Linked DNA regions of Schizosaccharomyces pombe. The protein of the gene in region 3 interacts with the protein of the main gene of each other region in a biochemical or structural test. Each region holds a gene or a part of one and is shown on either strand. Other genes may lie near its edges.

Evidence for each region.
Region 1: the proteins of act1 (region 3) and wsp1 form a complex in vitro, tested with the Schizosaccharomyces pombe proteins (2 studies listed by BioGRID).
Region 2: the proteins of act1 (region 3) and rng3 form a complex in vitro, tested with the Schizosaccharomyces pombe proteins (one study listed by BioGRID).

Annotation. Positions count from the first base shown.
Region 1 is NC_003424.3:4,861,765-4,865,598, forward strand, and holds the start of wsp1 (actin assembly factor), read right to left. Parts: upstream 1,744-3,834; 5' UTR 1,685-1,743; coding exon 1,469-1,684; exon of another isoform or gene 1,384-1,468; coding exon 43-1,383; exon of another isoform or gene 1-42. Other genes in the region: SPOM_SPAC4F10.16C (P-type ATPase), read right to left, coding at 2,197-2,773, 2,820-3,834. UniProt on the Schizosaccharomyces pombe protein: Has a role in regulating actin assembly, so regulating polarized growth.
Region 2 is NC_003421.2:86,870-90,703, forward strand, and holds the start of rng3 (UCS-domain protein Rng3), read right to left. Parts: upstream 1,820-3,834; 5' UTR 1,742-1,819; coding exon 1-1,741. Other genes in the region: rpl35 (60S ribosomal protein L35), read right to left, coding at 2,036-2,267, 2,552-2,688; rpl902 (60S ribosomal protein L9), read left to right, coding at 2,911-3,480. UniProt on the Schizosaccharomyces pombe protein: Essential for actinomyosin ring assembly during cytokinesis. Has a role, in conjunction with F-actin, in assembling myosin II-containing proteins, such as myo2, at the division site.
Region 3 is NC_003423.3:1,475,383-1,478,982, forward strand, and holds act1 (actin Act1), read right to left. Parts: upstream 1,952-3,600; 5' UTR 1,895-1,951; coding exon 767-1,894; 3' UTR 103-766; downstream 1-102. Other genes in the region: spore wall alpha-1,3-glucan synthase Mok12, read right to left, coding at 2,722-3,600. UniProt on the Schizosaccharomyces pombe protein: Actins are highly conserved proteins that are involved in various types of cell motility and are ubiquitously expressed in all eukaryotic cells.

The DNA.
Region 1 (3,834 bases), on a different chromosome or scaffold from region 3:
TATTAGTACGAGTAACCATTAAGTAATAATATCAATACTTACCCTGCTTTTCAGTAAATCCATACCACCGCTGGCTCTGATACTGGCCATTAAATTAGCACGGCCGTCTTGTTGAGGCAATTCAGCTATCGAAGCAACAGGCGCGGCGGGCGCAGGAGCTGGAGCTGGAGGAGGAGCTGGTGCAGCGGGAGGCAATGGTGGAGCAGCTGGCATACCAGCGGGTAGAGGAGGAGCAATTGGTGCACTAGGTGGTAGGGGGGGAGCAGCTGGTGCGCCCATAGGTAGAGAAGGTGGTGCACTGGGGGGCAAAGATGGAGGTGCACTAGGAGGAAGAGAAGGAGGTGTAGGGACAGGAGGTGTGCTTGTTCGTGATGCATTACCAAGAGGGGGAAGTGCAGGCGCAGAACGACCAGGAATAGCTGGAGGAGGGGCTGGTGGGTTTGAAACTGCACGAGATGAAGATAAAGGGGGTGGTTGTCTCCCAGTGGAAGGAGCAGACCTTGGAGGAGGTGGAGGAGGAGCAGATCTACCTTGAGGCGGCAAAGGAATTGAGCCAGCAGCATTAGATCTAGGAGGTGGTGGAGGTGGAGGAAGAGACGAGTTAGAAGAACCATTACCAATCGGTGGTTTACCACGATTACGACGGGATGGAGGCGGAGGCGGAGGAGGTCGTTTTTTGTTAGCAGCTAGAGCTGCCGCACTGACTCTTGAAGATGGTGGAGGGAGTGGAGGTTTCGAGGTGGAATTAATAGCAGGATTCATCGAAACAGGAGCGATAGGACGGGGAGGGGAGTTAGGAGGAGAAGAGACAGTTCCATTAGATGGAGGTGGAATTGGGGGAGGAGCAGGTGCAGACAAAGAAGGAACACGCTCTGGGGGACGAGAGGAAGGAATGCTTGGAGGGATGGGAGGTGCAGAAGTACTGGTAGGTGTACCAGCTGATTCATTAAGGTACGCTTTGACGAAATCTGCGTTTTCAGCAATTTGATCCTGGGAAATGCCCATCTTCATTAGAGAATCAATTAAGCTCGGATCAAGCGAATTTAAAAGCTCGGGCTCATTGGGACTTTTAGATCCAACAGCATTATAATTTTCCTTTCCAGGTACAGGAGGAGCAGCTGAGGGAGGTTGGATATTGCTGTTGTTAGGCGCATGTCTAGAAGAACCTTTTCTGGTAATAAATGACAAAACCGGATTCTCAATTGATTCAGGATGGCAACCTTTATCTAAAACCTTTTTGTAAAATTTTTGAGCGTCTGTCTCGTTTGCAAAACTAAAACCTGCTAGGCATTTATCAAGCTCGAAAGAATGAAAAAATGTACGATCTTGGCGATAGTCCATATTTTGATAAAGCTCTTGGTCCCATATTATACCACTATTATTCTAAAACGTTAGAAGGTTATAATTCAATTAAATTGTATACCACTCTTTGTAGTTTGCTTTGAGTATCAAAGCTTCATACACATACCACAACGTCAACCAGTTTAAACCAACAGCATTTTGCTGTTGTATCATAGGACAATACAAGAGCACCACAAAGACCTGTATAATTCCATTTGTTCGGATCAGGATAAGCTACATATAGCTTGACGACGGCTGCTGCAATGATTTTATTTGTGCTTTTAGGTATGTATTTACGGATAGTTGCCTTATCCTCTTGAGTTATAGAGGAAGATGGAGGCATTTGAATTTTCGGATTGTAATGCAATTCAAAAATTGCTGTCTCACAGTGGTATAAGTGGTGTTTTGGTTCCTCCCGTTTGTTAGCATTTTCACTGTAGTTAACAAGCCAATGAGTGATAATTAGTGTAGTATACTATACTACGCTATGTACTATAAAAATTTGCAACGCACTTATTAGCAGCTGGTAAATTTTGCTAATTATATTAACTGTTTATAGATTAATAAAACTTGAGACATTAATTCGGGTTTAATATTTTTTACATTCTACATACTTATCGTCCTCATTGTAAAGAGGTAAATAAAATTTATTCAACCATACGAAGTTTGCTTGTCTCATAATGTTAGTTTATTATAAGATTATTAAAAAAATGACTTAATCATAATCATTAATTATTAGAAAAAAAAGGGAACATTAAGAAAAAGTCATTCGTGATGTTGAGGATAATAAAAAGACTCTCGTCCGGTAGGAGTAGTATAACTACATAAACAAACAGTGCGAACTCAGATGTATGGCTACTTATTAGAATCATCGAATGAAACTGAAGTAACAATACCGGAATTTTTTTTCGAACTTAATGGGTCGTTACATTGTTCGCACATTTCTATATCTGTTGCAAATGATGAACTACTGCTAGTCTCATCATCTGACTTTGCACAAAGTCGTCTCCGTAAAAGGTCAATATCTCTAGGATAAAACAATTTTTGTAAGCAAATATAGGAAAAGCGAGGCAACAAACATAAGGCAATGGTTAAAACAGTAACACACCAAAAGCCAAAAGTTTGACAAGTTCGCGAAGCTGATTTGTGGAAAGCGTAAGAGGGGCCAACTTCTGAATAAATAAATGTCCATATCCAAAATACACCTATGCTGAACATCCAAGTAATAAGTGATATTAAATTCAATCTCTCTTGATTCATCAATATAAAAATGTTGATTACAAAAATAGTAGGAGAGGATATAAAAAGTCCTATGTCTTCTATACACTCGATGTTCCTTCCAGTCCAACTTACAAAATCACCAAACTTAAAAACAAATAGAGCTACCCCAAAGCATACCAATGATTGATATATTCCATCTAGCATGTAAGACCTAAAATAAATATTTAGCAAACAGAAATCTTCAGAGTTATACTTACCAAAATCTCTTTCCGTTCCATTCTAGACCTAAAATTCCCCGTTGGTATAAGCTTGGATTTTTCATTGAAACAGATGCGTCAACGTCCTGGTCAAAACAACCTGCAATAATTACGGGTAGTGATGTGAACAGCAGATTAAAAAGCATCACGTAGGTATAATCAAATATGTAGTTTCCATCAAACTCGTTATAAAATTGATACCAAAAAAGTATAAATGTCCAAATAACATTTTTGTAAAAAAAGAATGAAATCATTTGAGACATTCTTTTATAGTCCCATCGTCCATGAACTAGAAGTAGTCGCCCTAGGAAAGAAAATTGACCGATGGCATAATCCGCCGACATTGAAGCTGCTTGCCCTTCAACGCCTTTTATCCCTACTCCAACGTCGGCTTCTTGAATCATCGAAACATCATTAGCGCCATCTCCAATTGCTAAAGTGACAACATTTAGACTCTTCTTGACTAAAGCAACAACAGCTGCCTTCTGAGAGGGACTAACCCTGCAGCACAAAACTGTCTTACACTGCTTACATAACATTAAAAAAAGAAAAGAGACCTGTTCAGACAAAACAAAGTTCAGGGCATCCCCATCAATAACTATGGCGTGTTTCGGAGATGGCGGACTGTGGTCTTTCAACAAAAATCTGAATTCTTCATCCGTTCCCATGTATCCAAAATTAAAGCATAATGTGTTTCTAATAAAAGCTTCTACTTCTTCTAAGGCACCGAAAGAGTTTGCATCAATTCGAAAAATAGTCATGTTTGGATCAAGAAGATTGCATGAATACCCAATGTTGATTGCCGTTTCTACCTTATCACCAGTCAACACCCACAACTTAATTCCAGCAATAGCCAAAAGAGCGATAGTTTCTGGTACATTCTCTTGAAGTTTATCTTCAATTGCTGTTCCACCGAGTAATTCAAGCTCTTGCTCAATCATCTCTGAAACTTTACTGACCTTTTCGTTCCGTTCATGAATGGCACTATTAGCTTCGTTGAAATTCACTTTCCATT
Region 2 (3,834 bases), on a different chromosome or scaffold from region 3:
TCCAACATTCTTGAACTATGGCTTGCCGACTTTCTTCATCATGTGAAGCAAGATTTGTTAGCGCAAGTAACACTTCAAATTTCCCCAAGAGAATTGGATACTCAGTATCAGCAGAATTAGTACTTAGTAACTTTGACATAGGATGAATTGCTCGGTTCGATGGAAACGCCTTAGTAAATATACTATGAGGAGCCACACTGATAAGAATTTTCGCTAATGCAAAAGCCGCATTCGAATCCTGGGTTTGGATAAAACATTGTCTAGTAAGGAATTTCAATGCACCTATTTGTACTAGCTTGCGACGTGCCAGCTTGTAATTAGCCATGTGTACAAGTATCATTGCTAATAACCCGTTTAGGCTATTATAGTGCTTGGCCGCTGAAAAGAGTTTTGACAGAATGTCATATTCTAAAATTTTTTGAATCCTCCGTTCAGTAGGAGCGGTTTCATCTTCTTTGTAATCAATAGTTTTTGAAGCTTCAGCCATGTTACGAAGTTGGTTCAATTCTCTTTCATGCTCCGATTTTGTGATTTTGAACTTGCACATATTGTATATTATTGTAGCAATAGAACTTGCATCCAACGGTGAAATGTTCGTATCTAAAAGCAGTTTTGATAAATTATTTAAAAGACAGGAATCATCGGCAATTAGTTGCTTTACGGGTCCGAGAGTAGAGGATTGTCGTAACGCTTCTAATAAAACTGAATCATATACTTTACTCTGCAATAGAAGCTTTAATGTAGGAATAACTTGAGAAAGCTGGTACTGAAATGCTAACTTCATTGAAATGAGTATAGCAACTCTTGAAGTGTGATTATCTTTGATAAATTCGCTACATTCTTTGTGAATGATAGCACGGCATTCCTTAAAGTTGCAGGCAGTATTTAAGATATTTAGCCATTCCTCTTGAAGTCCATTACGTTCAGCTAATTCGGTCCACTCATGACAGAACTCGGGACTTATAAAATCAGGGTGACTAGGTAAACACATCAATAAAAGAGAGGACATCCTTTCAAAAGAGACTGGAATAGTTTCCGGTTGGCGAGCTAGAAGAACGCAGTCCTTGGCAAGCACGAAGGCAAGGTTGGATGGACCATCTTGGAAGATAATCGCACTAAGAAGCCTGTAATTAGGATTATTTAAAAAGGCGCGTCGAGCATCAGTAGCAGAGGTGAGAGATTGAAGAAGATAATTTCGGTTATTAGCTTCTTGACAAAGACGAGCAATCTCATTTGCCGTTATTGAAGAAGGAGAAGAGAATAGTTCATACAGTAGATATTTTTGAGTTTTCTGGGGTATAATCTTTTCATTGACTATAAGCAGCTCAATGCCAACAGTTGAAAGAAAGAAAAGTTTTAATGGAAAGTCCGTCGGACATATTGAAGGCTGGGATACAAACCGTAAAAACGCGTCTCTTAGCTGCTTACACCAGTCATTCAGAGGTGGAAGTAGTACAAGTGAGAAAATACGCTTTGCAATAGTTTGCAAGTTTGCGGGTAAAATAGTATCTACACACAAAACGCATTCGTGCAAGTCTTGTAAATTACATAAGTAGTTCCATTCTGAAGCAGCAGTGGACTTTGGACTTAAAAGCACAATCGCAGTGCTGATTTTAGATTTAAGAATTAGAGTAACGATTTGCTTCTTTTGGTAATCAGAAAATACGTTTGACTCCACTGAATTTTTCAGAATATCATTTAAAAGGTCAATTTGAGGTGTTGAGGAAAGCTCGTGGGTCATTTCACTTTTGTCTATGCACCAGAATAGAAAAGGTTTATGATAATGGAAGAAACAATTAACGGGGGCATACAAGTAATTGGTAAAATATTAAACGCCGGTACGTCCTTAGAACTAAGATGGTAGGAACAGGATAAATGCAGCAGCTAAGACGTAACCCGACTCTATGTCAAATTTGGGTAGTAACTACTGTTTAACACTTACAATAATACATATTAGCCTAGGACACTACAAATGAGATTTTTAATTAATTAAGCAAGGTAAAAATGGCAAGTTTTATTTAGCTACAAAAACATTTTAGGCCTTAAGAGCATACTTGCGAAGGGGGAAGTAGCGCTCCTTCTTAATTTGCTTAAGAGTCTTGCGGCTTTGCTCATAGGGAGTAAGAGCGCGACGGATAGCACGAGTCTTCTTTTGACGGAGATCAAGAGGAATGTACTTCTTGTTCTTGTAAGCCTCACGAGCGGCAAGACGGTTGGACTCGTTGATAACAGTCAAGATACGAGCAATGTCCTTGCGGGTAGTCTTACTATAAATAAGTTAGCAAACATTGAACAAGGAACATCATAATGTTTAGAAGATCAATAGAAACTAATAAAAACCGATGCAAAGAATTGGTTGGCGACATCTAAAAAGGTGCTACAAGCTGTTTTTGACCTGGAAAAAACTTTTCACTTTTTCCATCGGTCCAGAAAGACGGAAAAAATATGCCAACGCAGGTTATTTCATGTCCACTGTTCTTAGATGCCTTCTAAATACATTTCCAGTACTGCTTCTCACAAAGCAATACCTATTTCCTAAGAATTTACTTACATCTTAGACAATTTAGAACCAGAACCACCGGCAATCTTTTGTACGCGAAGAGAGGCAAGCTCTTGACGGAGCTCTTGTAATTGCTCAGCCAAGTTCTCTTGCGATTGCTTACGAAGTTCAAAGGTCTTTAATGCCATCTCGTCGTCGTCGTTGGTCAAGAGTAAACTCAGCGACACTGTTGCTTCCTACTAAAGTTTCCACCAAAGAAAAGCAGTCACACTAGTGCAAGTCAACACGCTGCGTAAAACGTCTCGTTTCAAGCTCGAAACTTTCGTGACTGTTTTTTATGAATAGACAACTGAAGCCAGACAAACAACCTGCCGAACGCCGTACGTTAGAAAAAATCAAACAACAGCAACATGGGCCGCGATATTTACAAGGACGAGACATTGACGATCCCTGAGGGCGTTTCAGTTGACATCAAGGCTCGTTTGGTGACTGTAAAAGGCCCTCGTGGTGTTTTGAAGCAAAACTTGCGCCGTGTGGATATTGAGTTGAAGAAGCAAGGCAACACTATCAAGTTTATTGTCTGGCATGGCTCTCGTAAGCATAATGCTTGCATTCGTACCGCCTATTCCATCATCAATAACATGATCATTGGCGTTACCCAAGGTTTCCGCTACAAGATGCGTCTTGTCTATGCTCACTTTCCCATCAACATCAATTTGACTGAGAACGGAACCGTTGTTGAGATCCGTAACTTTTTGGGCGAACGTATTACTCGTGTCATCAAGTGTTTGCCTGGCGTTACCGTTTCCATTTCTTCTGCCGTCAAGGATGAGATTATAATTGAAGGTAACTCCTTGGAGAATGTTTCTCAATCCGCTGCCAACATCAAGCAAATTTGCAATGTCCGCAACAAGGATATCCGTAAGTTCTTGGATGGTATCTATGTTTCTGAACGTGGTAACATCGAGGAGTTGGAATAGATGTATCACATGCAAAATGAATGAAAATGGTTTGTTGGCGATTTCAGACAAGCTAAAAGGTCCGAACGCTGTGGTGAATTGTGTAATTATAGAGTAATGCTTGGATGGGTTTAGCACTAGCTTTTTTGCAATGACTTGTAAGTCTCATTGAGAAAGTACGTACTGCTTATAGTAAATACTTATTAAGATTATCCTGTTTCCTCCACTAGATATGTAGTTTAGCAAACACAGGATTGTATCAATGCAATACAAGATACCAACTTCTTTTTTAGTTGCCATACTCTGAATAACAATTACTGCTACTCATGTAGAGCTTGGTTGAGAAGATGTAAACAAATTGCAATATTCAGCCCA
Region 3 (3,600 bases):
ATAATTCACTACTTCCTCTCTTTTTATATTTGAAGAACACTAATCATACCAATGTCTTACAATTTATAAGAATTTTACCTCAACTATACTATCCAACAATGATCATATACCATGTATGTATTAAATCTTTTTTTGACCTAATAAACTTTTGCTAATACTAATGTAAAACACATTCAACCATTTGGCTTCAAAGTTATACAAGTTCAGGTACCAATTAAATCAGTACTGAAGATGATACAACTCTACAGGACGAAAAGAAATGGCTGATGAAGTACATTGCACCACTTCCGCTTCTAACTATCTCGCAGTTACCACCTTGTACAAAATAAAATTCGTAAAAATTAACGGGAGTAAGTAAAATTCATTTACTACAGTTCTTTAATCGATAATCACAGCGATAAACATAACGAAAATATCGACAAAAATAATCGGCCGGACTCGAGAAGAAACATGTTAAAGAAAACGGGAAGTTATAAGCGAATGAAGTAACATCATAGGTATCTACTGGAAATATTTCTGTAACTTCAATATGTAAAAGGCTAGCTCTGCATTCGTCTATAATGAAAAAAAGAAAACAGAGCAAGAAAACGATAGTAATCAGAAAGTATATAAAACACTCCAATAATTGATACCCAAAGTTCCTCATGAGATGTTAAGAGCGGAAAAAGGTGGTTAAATAGGTAAAAAAAGATTGAAATTTATATATATCAGAAGAATCGATGTTATTCAAAAGTATGTAAAAAACGTTACAAAAAGTAAGAGGAGCTTAGAAGCACTTACGGTAAACGATACCAGGTCCGCTCTCATCATACTCTTGCTTGGAGATCCACATCTGTTGGAAAGTAGAAAGAGAAGCAAGAATGGATCCACCAATCCAGACAGAGTATTTACGCTCAGGAGGAGCAACAATCTTGACCTTCATGGAGCTAGGAGCAAGGGCTTGAATCTCCTTTTGCATACGATCGGCAATACCGGGATACATAGTGGTACCACCAGACATAACAACGTTACCGTACAAATCTTTACGAATATCAACATCACATTTCATGATAGAGTTGTAAGTAGCCTCATGAATACCGGCGTTTTCAAGACCCAAAGCTGAGGGTTGGAAAAGAGCTTCAGGGGCACGGAAACGCTCGTTTCCGATAGTGATAACTTGACCATCAGGAAGCTCATAAGATTTCTCAAGGGAGGAAGATTGAGCAGCAGTTTGAAGTTCTTGCTCAAAGTCCAAAGCGACGTAGCAAAGTTTCTCCTTGATGTCACGAACAATTTCACGTTCGGCGGTAGTAGAGAAAGTATAACCACGCTCCATGAGAATCTTCATAAGGTAGTCAGTCAAGTCACGACCGGCGAGATCAAGACGCATGATAGCATGAGGAAGAGCATAACCCTCATAAATGGGAACAGTGTGGGTAACACCATCACCAGAGTCCAAGACGATACCAGTGGTACGACCAGAGGCATACAAAGACAAAACAGCTTGAATAGCAACATAAAAGGCAGGTGCATTAAAGGTTTCGAAAATAATTTGAGTCATCTTCTCACGGTTGGATTTGGGGTTCAAAGGAGCCTCAGTCAACAAGCAAGGGTGCTCCTCAGGAGCAACACGAAGCTCGTTGTAGAAAGTGTGATGCCAAATCTTTTCCATATCATCCCAGTTGTTGACAATACCGTGCTCAATGGGGTACTTCAAGGTCAAAATACCACGCTTGCTTTGAGCTTCATCACCAACGTAGGAATCCTTTTGTCCCATACCTACCATAATACCATGGTGACGGGGTCTACCGACAATCGAGGGGAATACAGCTCTAGGGGCATCATCTCCAGCGAAACCGGCTTTGCACATACCAGAGCCATTATCAATAACCAACGCTGCGATTTCTTCTTCCATGGTCTTGTCTTTTGAGGGTTTTTTGGTTCGTTACAAAAAATGTAGTTGGTAAACGGTAAGTTATAACACGGCTGGCTGAGGTGGTATGAAGCCGTTGATTACATATAGATAAGATACACAGTTATACAGTGAAAATCTCTTATATATTTTAAAATATACATTTAAGTATAATGGGTGTTTAAATATGTATGAAATTGCTATATTTGAGCCACTTTTTTGATAAAGCCACACACAGCGTTAGCACTTCACGGCAGAATGCGCACGGAAGAAGACCGCGGAAACGGATAACATTGAGCAACCGGTTGTAGTACTGTAAGCGATATAGCAAATCCTTTAAAAGCTCTTATAAACATATAAGGAAATATAATTTCCGCGTTATTTAACTTGAAAAGCAAAAAACAAAAGAAAATGAAAGTTCACGATATCGAATATAAAAGAGATGGTCATAAAAATCTTATCAAAATTCACAGACAAATCTTCAAAGGTATTTCAAGTATTTGCAACTCGCGTGTCCCTATTTTATTAGTATTCATTCGACATTGTTATGATCAATAATTTAACACTAGCAAAAAAAAAGGTAATTTTTTTTTATCAAATGGCTATTAAATTACATCTAATTAAAAATTTCTCTTGATACAATGTATTATAGTTGGGTTGAATCGTATACTATAAAAATAATTAGTGATCAAAAGAATGAATATTAGTTTTAATCAAAGATAGATAAAAGTATAAGAATAATCATTAACATAAAAATTAAGATGTCATAAAATAAAAGAAAAATTCAGTAAAAACAACCCAAACACCGTCTCATTATCGTAGATCAAACACTAAAGAGCAAGCTGACTTTTACGATAGTGATAGAGCAATCCTCCAACAGCTACAAATTGACATATTAGTGCAATATAAAAGCAAGGTGATGCACAAGGTCCCGGTCCTTCGCTAGGATTCCATGCACCAAGATTTGGGAATACTCGATCACTTACAGGCAGAGAAGGTTTTGCGATCATAATTGTAATACAACTTATAACTTGCGCTAGCATCAACGTGAAAGCAACATGATCTCTCGCCAGGGTTTGCAGTAACATTACACCGACACCGACTCCCTGTATCCCGTCCCATAGAGCTAGCAAAAGCCATACTGACTTCGTCAGCAAGGCAGAAGCCTTACCAGCCCATGGTAAATTAATTCCGAGACCCGAGGATGACCAAAACTCTAAGCACCAGCGTGGACAAATGAGGCCCAATCCAAATATCACTGGAAACCAAACGTTATTAAGAGACAAAATCTTTATAACTGATAAGAGAACGGCCCAAACCACGATGAAGAAAATGAGTAAAAGAATGATTATGCTCCACAAAGGAGTGTTGCTAGTATTCCAGAAAAACCTCCAAGCCTGGCCATAAGGGACAGCAAGCCAGTAATTGATTAAAATTTGAGAGATAAAAAACCAAATTACAATATTTCGTTTTCCTAATGAACGATAAAACGCTGGAATGATAGAAGGAGCTTGGCGATAAAAAGCAGGTAAACCTGCGAATGTTACGTAGGAAAGCCCGAAGCAAATGAAAGAGGCGATAAGTCCCCCTGCAAAAATGCCAGGCCCCACATTTTGAGTCAAATCTTTCTTCGATAATAGATCTCCCCATGACCAGAGGATTGCAGACCAAATCTGTTGAATCCCATGTACAAGACAGGCCCTCAAAAT